Linked DNA regions of Saccharomyces cerevisiae S288C. The gene in region 3 interacts genetically with the main gene of each other region. Each region holds a gene or a part of one and is shown on either strand. Other genes may lie near its edges. The genes, in order: AIM39, NRG1 and SFL1.

What was found.
Region 1: mutations in SFL1 (region 3) and AIM39 together harm fitness more than expected from each alone (negative genetic interaction), as found in Saccharomyces cerevisiae (2 studies listed by BioGRID).
Region 2: mutations in SFL1 (region 3) and NRG1 together harm fitness more than expected from each alone (negative genetic interaction), as found in Saccharomyces cerevisiae (2 studies listed by BioGRID).

Annotation. Positions count from the first base shown.
Region 1 is NC_001147.6:227,189-234,427, forward strand, and holds AIM39 (Aim39p), read left to right. Parts: upstream 1-2,896; coding exon 2,897-4,084; downstream 4,085-7,239. Other genes in the region: ubiquitin-protein ligase PSH1, read left to right, coding at 1,426-2,646; DDR2 (Ddr2p), read right to left, coding at 4,382-4,567; adenosylmethionine decarboxylase SPE2, read right to left, coding at 5,258-6,448.
Region 2 is NC_001136.10:541,478-548,335, forward strand, and holds NRG1 (transcriptional regulator NRG1), read right to left. Parts: upstream 1,893-6,858; coding exon 1,197-1,892; downstream 1-1,196. Other genes in the region: HEM13 (coproporphyrinogen oxidase), read left to right, coding at 5,165-6,151; DNA-directed RNA polymerase III core subunit RPC11, read right to left, coding at 6,501-6,833. UniProt on the Saccharomyces cerevisiae protein: Transcriptional repressor involved in regulation of glucose repression. Binds to UAS-1 in the STA1 promoter.
Region 3 is NC_001147.6:581,823-589,222, reverse strand, and holds the start of SFL1 (Sfl1p), read right to left. Parts: upstream 2,243-7,400; coding exon 1-2,242. Other genes in the region: RUP1 (Rup1p), read left to right, coding at 2,899-4,914; SIA1 (Sia1p), read left to right, coding at 5,542-7,400. UniProt on the Saccharomyces cerevisiae protein: Involved in cell surface assembly and regulation of the gene related to flocculation (asexual cell aggregation). Mutations in SFL1 causes constitutive cell aggregation.

The DNA.
Region 1 (7,239 bases), 360 kb from region 3:
TAGATTCATATGAAAGCTAAATGCAAGGATAAATATTGTAATAAGATAATAAGGGCCTGCACATAAAAATGGGAAGAATAAAAAGAATAGTAATAATAATAATGATGATGACGATGATGATGATGATGATGATGATGATGATGATGATTATGATTACAATGTATTTGATAATATACTAGTATCACGAATATTACTAAATGGATGACACTCTAGAGTTTCATCTGAATAATTACCAAATTATTCACCTATCTCTTAGTAGTATACCTATTTTTTCGTTTAATTAGTGTCCTTATTGGCTTTAAAGTAATTAATGCAGATGGTTCATGGCATACAAAAAATACTTTGTTTCGTTTGTTTTTTTTTTCTTTTTGTTATGATTTTATTAGCCTAATAATGTCCTAGAGTTAACAAATGTAAATTGTAAGAGGATACATTACATCTACAAAAATTAAAACCAGTTAACTCTCTATCCTCATCCTTTTAATTTTGTTGAATAAGAGGCAACCATAAAGGTTAAGAAATAGCATCAGATGTAATGGAAGCTGAAAAATGCAATGATTGATTATTCAATAATAGTGAATAACGGCGTGTAAATGAATAAGAAATGGTAATAATAATACTGATGCCTTTTTATGGATTCCTATATCCTTGTGGAAAACCTCTTGAATACTGGGTGAATAATTTGATAATTGTTGTCATTCCATTGTTGGTGAAGGCTATAATATTATGTATACAGATTATAATAGAAATTTTCCTCGAGGATATAGGAATCCTCAAAAAGGAATCTATATTTCTACATACTAATATTACGAATATTCCCAATTCCGTTTTATACATTTCATTATCCTATTACATTATTAGTCCTTGCATTTCGCTTCAATCAATCTAACTGTTTCCCAATCTTTATGTTATCTTCTTACACTGCATGTGATAATATACTAGTAACACGAATACTACTAAAAAGATGATATTTTAAAGTTTCATTCCAACACCTCTAACATGTTCTATATACCTAATATTAAACCTTTATTAATAATGGAATCTCAACAATTGTCTCAAAATTCTCCCATTTCTCACAATCTTGTGCATTGAGAACTGTGCATCATTAAGTTTCTAAAATTTAGATCTTTCATAAAATATTAGACTCCATGGCCAAGTTGGTTAAGGCGTGCGACTGTTAATCGCAAGATCGTGAGTTCAACCCTCACTGGGGTCGTTATTTTTGAATACCCAATACTTTTTTTTCGGGCCATTTCACACAATGGCGTTTTTTATCCTATGTCCACTACAATTTAGATGAGCTCTCTTCTAGCATACAACTGCGATGAGGAATTTGATAATATTCTATTTTAAGCATTAAGTTTTCAGAAAACGAACGATCGCGTTTTTTCTCAGACAGAAAGTTTTAATATATTGATAAGAATAATGGGCGACGAATTACACAACCGTTTACTTCACCAAAACGATGGCACCAAGGACGCCATACTTTATAAGATAATAGAATCGTTAGTTTGCTCCATCTGCCACGATTATATGTTTGTACCGATGATGACACCTTGTGGTCATAATTATTGCTATGGTTGTCTGAACACCTGGTTTGCCAGCAATACTCAAAAAGAATTGGCTTGTCCGCAGTGCAGATCTGATATTACCACCATTCCCGCATTGAATACAACGTTGCAACAGTATCTATCATTCATTTTAGAGAAATTAAGGGACCAGAATGATGAATCTTTTAAAAAACTTTTAACAACTAAAACCAAGGAGGAAAATGATTACAAGAATGACAAGGAAAAGGACACATTGTTTGACAAAGTATTTAAGAATAGCGCATTGGCAGTGGCCGACGACTCGGATGATGGTATCACACGTTGTAGTAATTGTCATTGGGAATTAGACCCAGACGAAGTAGAGGACGGAAATGTTTGTCCCCACTGCAATGCCAGAATACGGAATTACGCAGGTGGTCGCGACGAATTTGATGAAGAAGAATACAGTGAAGGAGAGTTGGATGAAATCCGGGAAAGCATGCGTAGGCGTAGAGAGAATCGATTTGCGTCTACCAATCCGTTTGCTAATAGAGATGATGTAAGTTCTGAAGACGATGATAGCAGTGAAGAGGAGCCCATGCGAGAACATATCCCACTAGGCCGTTGGGCCAGGTCACATAATCGTAGTATTGCTGTGGATGCTGTGGATGATGAAGACGACGAAGAAGAGGATGAGGAAGAAGAAGAGGAGATGGATTCCGATTTGAAAGATTTTATAGAGGATGATGAAGATGACGAAGATGAAGATGGAAGTAGGAGGAATTTGGTATTGTCTGCACTCAAGAACAGACATGTAATTATTACTGATGATGAGGAAGAGGAGCAACGGCGACATGCTACAGAAGAGGAAGATCGCGATAGTGACTTTTACGAGCATAATGATGATGGTTTTGTAAGTGGTGATAGCCTTGATGAGGATCAGAAGGAGGTTACACGGATACAATCGAGTTCTGATTCCGAAGATCGTTCACTTTCGTATTCCGGCTCCAGCGATGTCAAGGATAACAATGACGATAACACGGAAGAATTAGATGACCCACAACCGAAAAGGCAGAAACGCTTCCGTGTAGTTCTAGGAGACAGTGACGATGAATAATCTGAACATTTTAACTAGCGGGAACGGCATATGTACGGAACTTTTATGTATGTTTTTAAAAAATTTCCTTTCTATCCTTATTACATTAAGATTTTTAAGCGATAGTAGGATCGGAAATATAAGCACTCGTTTATGATATAAATAGGTCAAGAATTTCGTAAAGTAAAATCAATACATATGTGAATCTTTTTTTTTTTTTTTTTGGGACTGCTATTGGTATTTTTTTAGCGTCACGTTAATCAGCCCAATTATGTGGGGGTTATGCAAGAAGCATTTTCCGAGCAATAAAATTCAAGTGCAGGAGAGAAACAAAGCATTAAAACCAAAGAAGAGTGGCAGCGAACATAAGACAAAGCAACTGTTTCCTGTATTCAATTGCAAGAAGAAGGAAAAAGGGGTAATGATACGGTTTGCGATTCTACGTAATGCTAACACATCTCTACTGTCCGCGAGAAGTATATGCTTATTTACCCAGGCGCCTACCTATTGTCATGTAAGGTTGAATACCTTGAATAAAAGCATTACAACTAAAAGAAATTCATTGACAGAGTCGAAAAGGCATGTCCATGATGGCAAGCATTTTTTTACGACGCCACATCAACAGCAACAGACGAAGTTGGGGGAAATTGAAGAGGGACACAGTCCTAACATAAAAGGAGAGGACTTGAGAAGCATTGGTCAAGCAATAACACATCAGCGAAACAAGCGCCGAAAGCAAATATGGTCCGCCATATTTGGTGGTATATTCGGTGTGATATTAGGATACTCACTAATCTATAGAGTGATATATTTAAAGGAACAAAGTTTCTTACCATTGTTTCCATCATCCAAGATACGTAAACTGAGTACCAGAGATTTGAAAAAGGTTGACGTAAACCAAGTACAGAAGCTTTCTAAATTAAGGGTTTTAGAGATATTATCCGGTCATGACATGATCAAGGAACAATACGGAGTACCATTGCTTGATAAAGATGGCAATTCACCCACGTTAAATGAATTCAGCATGTGGTGCGAAGATCAAGATCCATGTGTAACTGGTATTGTAATGGAGCCAGACGATAAAAGGGATAGTTCGCACACTTGGTATAGAATACCCTTTGTTTGCAAATGGAGGATAACGCATCGGCCAATAAGTATACGGGGAACCATCGACGATTTACTGAACCGCATTGGTTTGGAAACAGCCGATTTATTTGAGATTATATCGCCGGAGAGGGTATACGGGTCGTTCAAGTACGAATACCCACTGCAGGGGGACTCACATGCATTACACCTTTGGTTTCATGGCGAAATCGAACTGGACGATGATTCTTTGATTGTATATAATGGAAAATACCACGTTGATGTTAAATTGCAAGAAATCGACCTCTTCAGACGTGAAAAGAACGGACAACTAATACAGTACGTTCTATACAAAAACGAAGCGGGCGACAAGTAAGAAAAATGTAAATATTTTTATCACAATTATGATTATTATCGTTATTAAACTACTTATTTTCGGTTACGTAGATGAAATAGTGTTATATAAGAATATTTGAGAAAGTAAAACTGATAAATAAATATAATGGAATGAAAAAATAGAGACGAACTGGAAGAAGAGAAAAAAAATTAAAGCACCAAATTTACTACTCTGGGGCCTATAGATGGAATATCAAAGGGGAAGATGAGAAAAGAAATTATACATTTCAGAAACGTCAATAGGGTATCATCATCGTGGCAGTAAGCGGCGTTTTTCCTAAATCAAAAAGGCCAAAGCACCACCAACAGCAGCACCGACGACTCCGGCGTTTAGTAGTTGACCATTTTGAGCGTGCAAAGCAGGAGCAGCGTTACTCGTGGTGTTGGATGCGTTTTGAGCATTTACGCTAGTAGCGAGGCCGAAGACAGAGATGGCAGAAATGAAAACTTGTGATACTTTCATGTTTAAATCGATATTAAATTAGCGTGCTTGCTTGGAGGGCTTTTCAGAATGAAAAAAAAAAGAATGAAGAAAGAATTAACCAAAGAATGGAGGTTATGTGTAAGAAATGGCATTTATATATACATTTATATAAAAATGTATAAACATACTTGCATTATTGATGTCCCATAAGGGGTGAGAAAAGACAAAAATGGAAACAGGGGAAAAGAAGAAGAGTAAAAAAAGGATTATTTTAGGAGAGAAAGGGGATTAGAAGAACATCGGGCATAAACCTTTGAGCATCATCCTTTATTGATGTTTGACACCTTGCGATTGATGAAAAATATTGATGATATTAAGGTATTTCTGATAGCCACTGCCCCGTCCCTTGAAGCGGCCTTCCGTCGAGGCCTTGGCAACCGTGTCTGGGTGTGTGATATATTACATCAGAGGAAATAAAAGCTTGAGCGGCTAAACTCCCTTAGCTCAGGGGTGGTCTGGCCAGGAATTTTCAGTGGCCATTTTTCCTGTTCCGGGTCCGGCCAATCTGTGCCGGTTTTCTCTAGAGGAAAAAAAAAAGCATGCGGGGTAATGATGTAGAAGATATACAAGCGGGTTAAACTACATTAGTTATGAGTGCTAGAAAGCAAGCGAAGGATAATAGAAGAGGGCTATTCTATGTAAGTATGAGGAGACACAAATGGCGGCTTTTCATATTTTCTTCTGCAATTTCATATAGAAAAGGTGGTAGTCGTCCAGATCATAAACAATTTTGTCTAACTTGATGTAGTCGGGCAGTGACTCGTTGATGCTTAGTAGTTTTTGGAAGGATTGGTTCTGATAATTTTTGGTAAAAAAGGTCATCGAGAACTCTCTTGGTTGAAAAACGTTCAGAATATGTAGAAGAACGTCCAAGTTGTCTTGCTTCCCTTGGGAAATGTCAAATACGGGTATGTTACTTTCGAAAGAGGCGTAAGACCAACCCTTTTCCGGAGTCACGTGCAGGGTGTAATAGTATTTTTCAGCGAGAATCATATTGGATGAGTATCCACATGGCGTGAACGCAAATGCATCGTGGTGAAATGATAAATCGGAGTCTTGGGCCGAGTTGACATATATTTCGTCAAGCCTTGTATTTTTAGTCATTTGGTAGCCGAGGTTGTGGCCCTTATCTTCGTTTGGCTCCACGAGAGCGGTTGTGGATGCCTCAGGCCCGCAAACAAACTTACTAGCGCATTCTGGGTCCAGCTCCGTCATCAGTACTTCGAAAGTTTCGTCGTCATCCTCGATGTACTCCTTTCCCTTAGGTGTGGAGCGGTCCGTCTCGGTGACGTACAGGTTCCAGTGGTTGCTCTTGTCATTTCTTCCCACGGAATAACTTTTACCATTGTCGAAAAATTTGTTCAAATAGTCGACTTCGTCAGCCCAGTTTTGATGGATAGCGGCTTGCTTACAGGGGAAAAGGAAACATCGTCTAGAATAAAACACTTTAAATGGTTTGTACTTGCCCCCTTGTGTTGTGCGGAAAGCCCACGATAACTCTTGCTCAACGATCTGGAAAAGCTTTTCGAGACAGAACAATGTGGTTGTAGTACCGCACGTCTTCATCGTCAATTTGTGATCGAAGACGAAGAGGGAAGACTCACTCAACAAAAAGGCATCCAGTTCTTTAGTCTTCTTCATGGAAAGAACTTCGCATTTCACTAATTTCAAAATCTCGATCCATCTATCCATGCCAATATTTCTTAATGTCTTTTCGGTCGTGATGGACTTCTTGTGAGGGAAGAACCAGATTTCCAGCAACTTCTCGGGACCCTCGAACGCATCCGTTGAGTCTAAAGTGGCTGATAGTTCGTGGTCAATGTAGTTGTGGTTAGTCAATTCTTTTATGGTGACAGTCATTCTATGGTCCGCCTATTTGCGTAAGACACTATATGAAAACCTAAAAAATATAAAAAAGAAGCTACAGTACAGTAATTGATTAACCTGGAAGAAAAAAAAGAAAAAAAGAGTTGATGCAAGGAGCGAGCTGTAGCGAATACAATATATACACGTATAGATATGCAGAGATGCTTTTAGTCGATTAGCAAAGTTTATTCGATGCCTAAATACCGGAGAACCGTGTTTGGAATTTTTTTTCTTCGAGTGGAAAAAAGTGAAAATTTCCAAAGTCAATCATTGTGTACGTACGCTGAAATTGGATGCAGAAGAGGTAAAAGGCGAAGGAAAAGAGGGCGAGGGTAAAAAGCCTGATTGCCAAACCATGGTGCCCAATTTATTGGATATTACTACTGATGGAAGGCTACATATCTCTGGCGCTTTCTATCAGCTGTCATCGATTTGAAATTCTTCTAGCCCTAGGAACGCCATTATGGGGCTTATCCGGGTAGCCAGTTGGCGGTTTTAGTTTTTTCACTTCTTGATTTTTTTCTAGTTCGAAGAATTTTTTCCACTGATGATTGAGCTATAAAAGAGCCTGATTAAGATGAAGAGCTCCGATTCTCTTCGTTAACGGAGCATCAAACATGACGTTAGCGTCAAGTAACCTACGATATTTGTGCAACAGACATGATGGAGTACCCTCATGCTTTGGCGCGTGCGCATCTATATAAGGTTAGGGACTGCAAAAGAAGCGGCGAGGCAGCCCACATCAAGTGGAACTACACAGACTTCCTTGTCGCGATACTACGGTC
Region 2 (6,858 bases), on a different chromosome or scaffold from region 3:
AACAGAAACAGAAATAAAGAAAATGAAAGCTACTCTGATTTACGTTACCGCCATTGAAGATGGAGGATGAAGCACAATAAGAATAAGAAAAAAGAAAATCAGCAAGAATGACGCGAAAATATATTATCAGTGTTAAAAAGCTATTGTCAAAGTTTGTTTCCACCTATAAAGGATTCGGACGAAGAAATTCATGTTGTTGTTGTTATAGGATATCATCATATATATTTTCGATCACTCGCCAAGAGAATGTATAATAAGGAAAAAGATACCACGTTCTTCTGAACATGTTCAATATCCTTTCTCCTACTTTGCTCAGTACTTGAGCCCCATGCGTTTACATGATTTCAAAAGATATGGAGCTGAAGCCTTTTGTCTTGGCCGAGGATATGGCACCTTTTATATGACCGTATGGAAGACGTAGAGTGGATGAAAATTTTGTGAAAAAAAAAAGCTTATAGGAACAAAAACATCCTTACATCTTCGGGTATTTCTTCTAGGGTTGAAGTATAATAATTAACTATACTATTGTTCGGAGACAGTTCTGATGCCTAGTAAAACGCTTGCAGCTCTAAAAAAATTTGTCTTATTTTTTTCTTCTTCAATGAGCTGTTACCATTGCTGTAAGAGATGCTCGAAAGGTAGTACCTTCAGTGAATTATCTGACGTACATCACGTGAACTGTTTTGCGTAGTAAATTGTTCAACGATAATATATCGTTGTTAGTGATCAAAAAGTAACTATGCAAACTGCAAATGTCAAAAAGCCACAGTTTCTAAAAGAAAAGCAATGAATGAAGAAGGTTTGGGGTTGTAAATGTTAATGCAGCGACGTCTGTTTTTTTGTTATGACAGGAAGTCAGGAGGTAGTCACAGTCTCGTATTAAGCAAAAGTGGTCTGTTTAGGTGGCATAATAGCCTTGTTGCAGCACTACTTGCTACCGAGGCGCAGCCTTACAACTAAAATGTCCAGACATGATCTTAAGCGGAAGGGAGGGGTTTTTGCTTCCGTTTTTTTGACATTAAAAGTTTTCTTAATGCCGCGCGTTTGAAAGGAAACTGATCTGAAAGTGATTTATGATGCCAAAAAAAAAAAAAAATCTTTTGAAGTACAATGTATGTATGCATGAGTTTATAAAAAATGATGTAAAGTGCGGAATAGTAGTACTGCTAATGAGAAAAACACGGGTATACCGTCAATTATTGTCCCTTTTTCAAATGTGTTCTATAGTGTTGCAAGCAATTATCATGTCGACTGAATCGCTGCGTGCATCCCTTATACGGACAACAATGATTTTTTTCGCCCGTATGAATTCTATTATGCCTTGCTAAATGACCCGATGTAGTGAATCCTCTTGCGCAAATTTTGCAAATGTATTTGCGCCTTTGTTCAAGGTCTTCCTCATCTGATAACGTATTTCTTGGATCTGTTCTTTGCTTCCGCGTTTTCAGAGAGTATCTACTATTTGCCATCTTATTATATGCATCATTAGAAACTATTCCGTTCTCAGGCTGTTGTATTATTGATGAATTACAAGTTAGTTGTGATAGCGAGCTTTTTTCGGATGAATCTGAATTATATTGTACCGATGAATTGTCAAAAGAGACGCTTCTTGTTTGTAAATTAGGCGTTATTAAGTATTTTGGCTCCCACTTTTCAGAGCCATTTTCTGATTTGGTTTGGTATCGGAAATCAAAAGCAGTCTTATTTAATTTGTGTTTTAGTTCATTCTCTACCACATGAGAATTAGTTAGAACTGGTAGTAGCGTCTGATATTTTCTTTCCGGGCTTATTTCAACGTTTTCTTCATCTTGCATTCCATCAAATGCGGAGATTCCCGGCAGTGCGGGCATAGTAGAAACATTGAGGTTACTATAGTTATATGGGTAAAACATTGCCTGAAAGTTTGCGAAGGGTAGTAATATGCTGGTCGAGAGGAACAATCCAAGAAAGGTGAATGGTAGAAAAAGGCGCCGTAATGGTAGGAATTACAGTACAATAATACTTTGCAGAATCGTATACGATATGATTTTTACTTTCAAAAGCTGCAGAATTCCCTTATAGCATCAAAAAACTGTAAACGAGGTGGAGTAATATAATTTCTTTTAGTTAAGAGATGGGAACCAAATTTTTTTTAATTTGGGTTTGGAAAGTTCTCTTCCTTATATATGAATAACGGAAAAGGAGCCTGCAGCCAGACTGTAGAAAGATGACACTGCCAAGAGAATAATTAAAAGAAAAAACACCCCAAACACCCTGACCGGCGGCGAAGCCCCTCTGCGCGCTCAACGCGTTTCGTTTCACGCTTAAGGGTCCTCAAGAGGCCATAGTCTTTTACCGATAAGAAAAATCTAGACCCAATGAATTTTTCCCTTCTTTTCCGGTGCGGCCTTTTCACTGCTAAACAGTAAAAAGCATTTCTTGGCTTTCCCTGAGGGTGTTGACCGCAACCAAGCCAATACTTCATTTTGCTTTTTCCTCTTTTAGAAAACAGAGTTTTCCCTGTCTCAAACGTTTCAAAGACAAATATGCGGAAAATCAACTTATAAGTAGAAAAATACTAGCGATTTTTCTAGTTAGAATATTTAGGGGAACTATGCGAAGACAAACGGTGAAGTCAAAAGAAACACACTGCCTCGATTAGAAAGGCTTATCTGCCACAGTTTAATTTTTTTTTAATTTTATTTCTTTTTTTTTTATTTAACTAGAATCTGGCTAAAAATAAGCAACGGTCCGTGTAGATTACTGTTTCGAACGAGGAACAACTGAAGGAAAAGTTTTTTATTTTCCGCGAAGTTCGTATATTTTAGTTTTCTTTTACTCCAAGGGTTCGTGACGTCGAATTCCTATCAGCTTTTTTTTGCGCTTGGCGTTCTAGGTCCCTGTGCCCGTCTGAAACTATTCGTACATAGCATTACTAGAGTACATAATATCGTCTACCATACATACGACGGGTAGCCAGATTTTGTGCCGGATTGTCGGGGAAAAGACGGCAAATGAGCTCATACGTAATGGTGCGATTTTGATTCTTAGCTTTCTATTTCTGGAGAAAAGTACTCCAAGGTGGGGAAGGGGGGAGGCTGGGACTAGTTGTTATATGATGTAGCCTAAATGTAACGAGGCGTGGCTCTTTCATCTTATCTCAATGAATAAGTGTAAATTGCCTCGCCTGGTTTAATCTTTTCTCCACATGCAGTAATAGGTATAAAAGGAGTTGAAATTAAAAATAATAATAAATAATGATATAAAAATTATAAGTTTCTCCTTTCGGAACTAAAAAATAATATTAATAATAATATATAAATATTATATCTTTTTTATAATATAACATAGATACGAGTTTTTATGTTCCTTTGGCAATAGCTTTTCGTGACTTGTTTTAAATACAAGGCATATAGGCGCAGCTTCACCAAGATATTCTGGCTTAAACCAGCACTATGTATATTTTGGTGTTTGATACCGATATCGGCAGCTCGAAGCGTTTTTATGAACTGTAAAAATATGTCCTACATAGTTGTTTGGTAATTTTTTGGTTTTTTAAGATTGTTTTATGAATAGGTGTTTTACCAGAAGGCTATCGCCAGGTAACTCTTTTAACTAAATCGAAAAGATTTATTTGACGTGTCATATTGTAAAAACTAAATGGAAGACAGAAACTAACTTTGTCGACACCTATTTTAAACAAGTATCAAACGCGGGCTATAATTTTTATGAGAGCAATCAATGCAATGGAGTCTATTTCCGGTTAAATGGCACGATTGTGCGTAAAAACACGAGAAAGTGGAAGCATCTTTTTCTTAATGACGGATAATTACCCGAAACAGTGCAACTGCAAGTGCATACTCTTGAAGGACTTACATATTGAGAGGGAACACATTACTACCTTTCAAGAACACTCGCATTTACGGCGTACATATGGTTCCGCGGTAGACCCTAGGTTGAATTGAAAACCATGTTTTGAAGGAAAGCAAAGGCAGAATGAGAACATGGAGATGTAAATATTTTCCCAGTTAGGCATGACCCAAAATCGCAATCCAGATGCAATTTATTATGACACGTAGACCTTTCCGTATCTAACGTAATAAACGATATCTATTTTCGAGGCGCTCGACATCTCGTATCTGGGACAGAAAGTGAGGTAGATTATTCAAGAATACCTATTAAGAAAGGTAGAAGGTATTGCACCGATTCCTAGTATCAATTCTTTTCAAAACCACTTATTTTGCAAAACATGCGTCTAACCTGCCATTTCAGCAACGTAAATAATAATTACTTCCATATATATTCTTCTCCCCCAGTAGCAATTTTGACATGACAAATTTCAGCGATAGTTGCTTCGGCATTCGAAAATCGTAGAAGTATGTCTTAATGTAGAAGGTTGAGAACAACCGGATCTTGCGGTCATTTTTCTTTTCGAGGAAAGTGCAAGTCTGCCACTTTCCAGAAGGCATAGCCTTGCCCTTTTGTTGATATTTCTCCCCACCGTAATTGTTGCATTCGCGATCTTTTCAACAATACATTTTATCATCAAGCCCGCAAATCCTCTGGAGTTTGTCCTCTCGTTCACTGTTGGGAAAAACAATACGCCTAATTCGTGATTAAGATTCTTCAAACCATTTCCTGCGGAGTTTTTACTGTGTGTTGAACGGTTCACAGCGTAAAAAAAAGTTACTATAGGCACGGTATTTTAATTTCAATTGTTTAGAAAGTGCCTTCACACCATTAGCCCCTGGGATTACCGTCATAGGCACTTTCTGCTGAGCTCCTGCGAGATTTCTGCGCTGAAAGAGTAAAAGAAATCTTTCACAGCGGCTCCGCGGGCCCTTCTACTTTTAAACGAGTCGCAGGAACAGAAGCCAAATTTCAAAGAACGCTACGCTTTCGCCTTTTCTGGTTCTCCCACCAATAACGCTCCAGCTTGAACAAAGCATAAGACTGCAACCAAAGCGCTGACGGACGATCCGAAGATAAAGCTTGCTTTGCCCATTGTTCTCGTTTCGAAAGGCTATATAAGGACACGGATTTTCCTTTTTTTTTCCACCTATTGTCTTTCTTTGTTAAGCTTTTATTCTCCGGGTTTTCTTTTTTTGAGCATATCAAAAGCTTTCTTTTCGCAAATCAAACATAGCAAACCGAACTCTTCGAACACAATTAAATACACATAAAGATGCCTGCCCCTCAAGATCCAAGGAATCTTCCAATTAGACAACAAATGGAAGCTCTTATCCGTCGCAAACAAGCTGAAATCACGCAAGGTTTGGAATCCATCGATACTGTTAAGTTCCACGCTGATACTTGGACCCGTGGTAACGATGGTGGTGGTGGTACCTCTATGGTTATCCAAGACGGTACAACTTTCGAAAAAGGTGGTGTTAATGTCTCCGTTGTTTATGGTCAATTGAGCCCAGCGGCCGTTTCAGCCATGAAAGCTGATCATAAGAATCTGCGTCTACCAGAAGATCCAAAGACTGGTTTGCCAGTTACCGACGGTGTCAAGTTCTTCGCTTGTGGTTTAAGTATGGTCATTCATCCCGTTAACCCACACGCTCCAACCACGCACTTAAACTACCGTTACTTCGAAACTTGGAACCAAGATGGGACCCCACAAACTTGGTGGTTTGGTGGTGGTGCTGATTTGACACCTTCTTACTTATACGAAGAAGACGGTCAATTATTCCACCAACTGCACAAGGATGCCTTGGACAAGCACGACACTGCTTTGTACCCACGTTTCAAGAAATGGTGTGATGAGTACTTCTACATTACCCACCGTAAGGAAACACGTGGTATTGGTGGTATATTCTTTGACGATTATGATGAACGTGACCCACAAGAAATATTGAAGATGGTTGAAGACTGTTTCGATGCTTTCTTGCCATCCTACTTGACTATCGTCAAGAGAAGAAAAGATATGCCATATACAAAGGAAGAACAACAATGGCAGGCCATTAGACGTGGTAGATACGTTGAATTCAACTTAATCTACGATAGAGGTACCCAATTCGGTTTGAGAACCCCAGGCTCTAGAGTTGAGTCAATTTTGATGAGTTTGCCTGAACATGCTTCATGGTTATACAACCACCACCCTGCTCCTGGTTCCAGAGAAGCTAAATTACTAGAAGTTACCACCAAACCAAGAGAGTGGGTTAAATAATTCAAGGTTCTTTAGCAGACCGATTTTATGATCTCAATGACAATGATGATTTAATTATTTCGACCACTTATTTATACATTTTTTTATCTATTTATTATACCTCCTTTACATAATTCTTCAAATTCAATTGATACAGGATCTCTATTCTTAAAAATATTAATTATTGCGTCCTATTTATGATGCAAGTTCACAGTACGTGCAGGATCAAAAATTATATCAGTATCTATTGCTCTAAAAATATGGCAGCAGCCTTCATTCTCAATATGCGATCATGCCTTCTAATCAAATTTTAAGATGTTTTTATTACTCTTTTTATTCTTAGAAAATTCATCTTATATTCAAGGACTTCTTAATTTTCCTTCCATCTATGACCACAGTTTACACACTTATAAAAGGTAGTCATCGGCTCATCAGCTGACCTAATTTGTAGTTGGAAAAAGTAAGCACTCTCACCACCACAAGTATCATAATTGGGACATTGGGTTTTGGTTTGATCCACATTGTCCCAACCACCACCAAGAACATCATCAACTTCCTTTCTTGGAAGTTTCTTCCTATCATAGATTTCTATACCCTCTATAGGAAACTCATATGGACATGAACGGCATGCTAATGTATATACACCACTATCGCCACTCGTTATCAGTAGCATATTGTTACACGAAGGACAAAACGAAAGCATCCTAAATTATGTATTTTACGTTTTA
Region 3 (7,400 bases):
TGGACGTGCTGCTATCCTCTTGATTCAGTAAAGAATAAACACCGCTCCCTTTTCTCTTACTATTGTCAGCCTCGCCAGTATTCTTAGTGGTGCTCGTTGTGGGCAAAGATGGCTGCGGTAGTTCTATTTGTGGTGCAGGTTCTGCTTGTGATAGGCTTGAGCTGTGCTCGACGTTCATGGGGGAGTTTATTAAATTTGAAGAAACAGCAGGAAGATTGTCCATGTTTTTTGGAGGAGGGCCCGTCAAGACAGACGAGTCTAATGGAGTTACCGAATCTGGAGCACAATTAGCAGCTTTGTTTAATGAGCGAAGCAATCCCTGCTGAGAGTACCGAATTGGGGCTGGATTGTTGGCAACTAGTGTAAAAGAGGAGGATAAAGACGTGCCCGAAATACTGGATTTGAGAGAGTTTCTAGGTTTGGGATACAGACTATCTTCATTCAACGATGATCTCGGTGTCAGCTTCAGAGGACTGTTTCTTCTATCGTTGGGCAAAGAGCTTGTAGACCCGAGACTTCTCATTTTTGGTTGAGAATACAATCTCGTTGTTGGTTCATTAATAGGATATATTGGACTCGGAGCCATATTTTGAGGGACAGGCTTGTTGTAGTCACGGACAGAAGGATTAATATTCATGATAGGATAGTTTAGTGGACCCTGAACTCCAACACTCGCTGCGGGAGTCAGCGGGTCCATGAGAACACTATTGGTCCTCTTCGTGTTGCCCGGTTTGTTGTTATTTTTCGAGGCAAAAGGATTGTGCATCATTTGTGGAGTGCTAAAAGTGTCTGCATATTGTGGAGGTAGTTGTTGGATGGGTATCGGCTGATTGATAAAGTTTGGTACATGTGCCGGTTGCTTCGCATAAGTCACATGTTGTTGCGACTGCGGTTGGTATTGTACAAAAAGTTGCGAGGGCGGCACTGAAGCCGTGTTGAATCTCGAAGGGATGTTCGTGGTCGAGGAAGATTTCTGCGGGACATACTGGTTCCCTGGAGGAACCATCATCTCATACTGAGATTTGGGTGCATATGCAGATGTGGATGTGGGCGCGGGTGCAGGGGCGACAGAGGCAGCGGTAGCGGCAGCATTTACAGCACAAAGAGAATCTATTGTACGGTGGGCCCTCGACATGACGTGCTGTTTGAAAGTTAACATATCGCTTTCGAATGCCTGAAGTTGCTTTTGGTGATCCTTCACGATATTTTCCGATTTTTTCTTGCTCACATTCTTGAAGGTGAAACTCTGTGAACAAAAACTGTGTTGCAAAGATATGAAATGCTGCATAGACTCTATAATCTTAACCATATCAAAATTTATTTCTTTCAAATGTTTCAGTGTTTCATCTTGAAAGTTCGGAGGTCTGTTTTGCTCTTGCATTTCCGGGTTATTGGATTCCAGCGGGGCATGGTTTGCGTTTTCGTAAGTTACATGAGAGTTATTAAAGTACTCGGGGATAGAGTTATTGGCGCCCGGAATTTGCGGAACGAAATTACCAAAGGAATTGGAACTGGTGGACGGGTCTTGAATCGAAGAGGGTCTTACTCTTGCACCGGAATCTATATCGTAGTTTTGATTACTAGAATTCTTTCGACTGTTAATTGAGGAGTTATTACGGGAAGAAGCTCTTCTCTTAATGTGTTTGAGTCCCTCAATGTCACCTTTCTTGAAAATACCAGAACTATGCTTAAATTCCCAGATTTTAGTGGGGTTACTTTTCTCCTTTTCTTGGACACCGCCACCGGTATTTTCGTCGCCACTACTGTTTTTGTTGCCACTATTATCATCGTGAGTATTGCTGTCATCATTAGTATTGGCGTCGTCGCCACTATTAGCGTCGTTGCTGCTATGATCATGCGACACCTTGTGAAAGCCGTAAATGTTCAACTGTCTTACAAAGCTCGTGATATTAGTATGCTTGAAATATGTAGCCAAAGCCTTACTAAACCGTTCCACAGGCTTAATCATGAAGGATAAGCCCGAAGGGGTCCACCATATCAAGTCGTGTAGCGATTCGTCCTCCAGAATCTGGTATAGCTTATGGATGAATATCGCATTTTGTGGCGGCCTGGGCCCCACTAGCATCTTCGACCCATGTTTCTTAACATCCTCGGCACCGTCGCCGCCTTCAGCACCAGCATTAGCTATTCCAGCTGCTGCTCCACCACTACCTACATCGGTTCCAGCCGGGGCCGGTGTAGAAGCTGGAGCTGGGGCTGAGACCGTTTCCTCTTCACTCATGATTTTTTCTTCTTTTTTTCTATATAACTGATTTGTGCTGTCTTAGGACCCTCTGAATGTACCAAATAGTGTCGAATTACAATATTCTTTGTTATGTATATAGAGCTGAGTGCTTTGTGTGCGTATGCGTATGTGTGTGTGTGTGAATTTTTTCCTTGAACCTGTCACTGTGGCGATGAAGGTTCACTATGTTCTTTTTTCCCTGCTTTTCAAACTATCTTTGAAACTTTCCACTTCACACCAGTACGACTTCTTTGAAAAATTCGTAAGTCGAATAAATAATATTATTTCGCCGTGCGTTTGTGTTTCTGTTTCAACAACCCTTTGTGTGCACCTGTATAGAGTGTTTAAAAAGAGATCCTTCTTGCTAGCTGAAAAAGTTTATGTCGAATAAAAACGTCTTTTCATGTACTGAACATCTGTTTTTCCGGCGGAGATGCAGCGATGGATGCGCTTGCTGCCAAGGCATCTGTGCCGGGCGGGTGATGTCCGGGCGACCCGGCACGGAAGTAAAAGATACTATTGTTGAAAGGTACTTCTCACTACAAGGCTTAAGGACCTGTCGGAGTAGAGGAAAGAAGAGAAGAAGCCGGAAAAGGAGAGTCGTCACCTGTAAAAGGAATCTTAAGTAATTGATTTTTGTTAAGTAAGCTACGATGATGGATAATCAGGCTGTAAAGTCACTGCTAGAAATGGGTATTCCACACGAAGTAGCTGTGGACGCCCTCCAAAGAACTGGCGGTAATTTGGAGGCAGCAGTTAACTTCATCTTTTCGAACGAGCTGCCGGAGCAAGCGGAAATGGGTGAGGAGAATGATGGCAGTCAGCCTAGGATTTCTGAGAACAAAATAGTGGCTGGAACCAAGCCCTGCGATGTTCCGAACAACGGGGACCAAGACATTGATATGCCGGATGTGAGTGGTGTCGATGTTGATTATGATGACGATGAAGACATCACGGATGAACGCAGCGGTTCTAATAGCACCAGCGGATGCAGGGTTACTGCTCAGAACTACGATCGTTATTCTATATCGGAGACATCCATTCCTCCCCCCTCTTATAGTATAGTACAACACAACGAGTTCAAGTCGAACGTGGGCGATCCTACGGTTGTGTTGCCGCTACCCTTGAATAGTCTAATTGAGAGCTATTTTGGGCTGTTTGCGTTGCTCACGGCCGTGTATTTCCCACACGTGTTCTTGAAACCGGACTTTAAGGATTTGAACTATAGGGCAGACTGGTTCAAGGGCTCATCGTTTACGGAGCCCAAATACAGACTTGCATATTGCGAGGCAGAAGATGGTTCCACTACGTCGGAGATCGTGCTGGCCAGCGGACCTAATGAAGGGTTGCAACCGCATCTGCTCTGGCAGTTGCAAAAACTCATCTCCGTGGTTAACACGCGAAAGTGTGAAAGAGCCTTTGTTTCGGCCAAGGTGTTTACGTCGTCCTTGGAACCGCAATTGAGGTCCAAGCTGGCCGATTCCGAGCATCTTTATGAGGTGCTCCCAGCGTTTATCAAATCATTGGCAGTGGATTTGGAAATGTGTCCTGGGATCAGAGACCGGGAAACAAGAAGTCTCTTTATATCTTCTGCTTTGCATACTCCGAACAAGAATGAACCTCCAATGGAGACGTTTTTGTCCTTGTTTCATTTTCTTCCTGAAGAGTACGATTCTAATCTATATAAAATGTTCAACGTTTTATTGTACCCCGAAGAAGAGGAAGAAGAAGAAGACGTGATTCGTGGTGGCGAGCAAGAAGAGGCGAGATATGTGGAACCGGAGAATACTTTGAAGGAGGTGGCACCCGTATTAACAATCCTGTTCAATGAACTAGAAACAAATACAGAATCAGTGTCTCTACCCAATGGCGTGGATATACCGCTTGAGTTTTACCCACAGCTTTACACCAAACAGTGCAAAGACCAACTAATAAGACATATTATTTCTAAACGAAAGCAAGCGCGGACCAGATCCAGATGCTTGCTTCAAGAGATCAACGAGTTAAAGAGTTACCAAGGCAAAAACATATCCACTATTCTAGAGTCGACGCTGGCGTATCTACAAACAATTCCTGACGATGCTAATAATGAAGCAGCAAAGCAGATCGCATCGTTGAAAGATACATTAAATTCTGCGAGAGCCGCTAAAATGGAGGAATATAAGGACTTGGCGTCCAAACTGCATGGAGAATGGAACCTTTCACATCCAGAGACACACATAATCAACACTGCAAAGCAATTGGGACTGATCGAAAATCCCTACATCCTCACAATGGCAGCACTATCGCCATATTCATACTTTATCAGAAGCAGAAACGGTGCATGGTCATGGATACAAAGTAATACGTTGGGAACAGAATTCAAGGTGAAAAAATGTTCGTCGCCTTCTGTCGTTCAAGAAGCCATCAAGCATGGCACGAAGTACGCAAGTGAAACTCCGCTGATGTTCATATACTGTGAAGAGGGTAAAATTCCCACGGAAGAAGTAGTCGCGGAAGCGTTGAAAAGCAATAGCGGGTGCTTAAAATTTGCTGAGGATGACCAAAATTCATTAAAAACATTGCGTTCGCAATTTTTCGATGGTATGGGAGATCCTGAACAAGCCACCAACAATATTAACAATGGTAACGATAATGACAATGACGATGACATCGATTCTGATAATTAGATAGATTTCTATACACTTTCCGCCAGATAAATAACGTATGTCTCTTTAAACTATGATCTCATTTTCTCTAGTAATTTTGAACCGCATATATGTTACTAGTTTACGTTTTCAATACTATAGAAACTCCGCTTGGAGGCTAACTGCGCCCGCAATCCGAAAACTTCTATTTACGGACATAAATTAGACTCTAAGGATCAAACAAAAATAAAAAGGTTGACAGATAAAGGACAGTTTTAATTTTTATACTTTTGATCTGAAATAATGCCAAGTCCTAAACTTATTATAATATAGCCTCGAACACAAGATCATTGAGTTGCTTTTTCTAACTTCTCCTTTCTTTATTTTACTTTAGCCGCAACAATACCCCTTCTATTTTAATTCTGACTTCAATTCATTTCAACTTTACGACCTTTTTTTTCAATTTCGGTTCTGCAGTACTCTTCATTTGTCGATTAATTCGAGGTTTTCATTATTTCTTGAAATTTCTTTCAAGTTGCTTTAGTTTCATTTCCAAAAGAGATTTAAATAACTTACCTTTTTCTCATTCCTTTCGATTATTTTACTTTCCAACAATTAGCTCTTATCACATTCATTGACCTTCGCAAACAATACCCTTCAAATATTTGCATGAGATTACATTATAGAAGAAGATTTAATTTTTTAAGGAGAATACTTTTTATATTATGCATTACTTCATTGTATTTATCGAGAGATTCACTAAAGCTACATGCAAAAAATGTATTAATGGATCATAATGTAGCAGAATATCATGGCGGAATGATAGACGATATTCAAATCCTGCGGTGCTACCATTGGTACAGGCAATGTAGTTCTTTGTATGCCCCGAAATTACACCCCTCCAATACTGCTAAAAAGATCAAAGACAAAAACAGCATTCTGTGGACCAGAGTTTCTAAGAATATTACTGTAGAGACATTGTATTCACTTCAGTCTGGACCATTCTACAACAGTTACTTATATGTTCATCTGAAAGATTTCCAAAGTAATCCAAAAAACACAATAAAAGAACTAGCCATAGCAAGGGACTCAGCACTAATACCCCTACAAGTGCTGAGAGACATTAATAAGTTGGTGAAATCGAGCGACAGTTCTGTCTTTCACAATCATGTGTATCTACGAGAAAAGCCTACTTCGTCATGGTGGAAGCTGCTTTTCGGCATATCCGTTGATACAGATAACATAGCTGTGTTCGGTGAGGAGTGGGTATACAAGGGGAGCGGCATATGGTGTAAGTATATCCTTAATGATGATGATAATGACGCTCCTATAACTAATTTGGAAATATATCTAGGATCATCGTTTATTGAATCGAGGCCTTCTTGGAAAGAAGTTATCCATGAATTTCATAGAAATAACATACCTTCTCTGCCCATATCAATTACAAGAAAGCTTGAAACCAAAAACCATCATCACAAATTTTCTAATGGATTGCTAGGTTCTTTGAGAACACCCAGCAAAGACATTAATATCCAAGTCGATGCAGATTACAAAATAACATCTCCCCATATACAATTTTCGAGGGGACAAAGATCATTCAAAATTCTCCAAATAACTGATTTTCATTTCAAATGTACGGATAATAGCATGACCGTAATCAATGAAATAAAAACAGTAAATTTTATTGATAGGGTACTCGCATCAGAAAACCCTGATTTAGTTGTGATCACAGGTGATTTGTTAGACTCACATAATACTATCGACTATCAAACGTGCATTATGAAAGTTGTCCAACCAATGATTTCTAATAAAATACCCTACGCAATTTCATTGGGTGTTTCTGACGAATCCAATTTGGCCACATCGGCACAAATTAGAGACTTTATCAGGAATTTACCTTACACATTTAACAACGTTGCATCAGAAGAGGGTCATATGGCCATAGAAGTCTCATTTAAAAAGAAGCTCACGAAGAATACTCTTTTGGAAAGAGACATTGATACCGAAGACGAAACAAACCCATCAGAGGCTTTATTTTTCGTCTTTGATTCATTTGCGCCCGTCAATAATTTCCTACAAGATTATAACGACCTGATTGGGAAAATAGACTTTGGCTTGGCATTTCAATATTTTCCATTATCGGAATATAGGCCTCATGGTTTATTTCCTATTATTGGGCAGTATAATGAGAGGTCTACCTTAACAGTAGATACGCCAAGGTCTAGAGGACAAGTTTCAATGACGATCAATGGCAAACATTACAAAAGCTTCCTTGATATCCTGAGTCTTTGGAATATAAAGGGTGTCAGTTGCGGACATGAACATAATAATGACTGTTGCTTACAGTCAAAAAATGAGATGTGGTTATGTTACGGTGGGTCCGCTGGTATAGGCTTGCCGAGAATCCAAGGTATATATCCAACCGTTAGATTATTTAACTTGGATGATATTTTGGACGAAATAACTTCGTGGAAGAGGAATAGCAATCTTGTTGACGAGGTTTACGATTATCAGTACATCTATAAGGG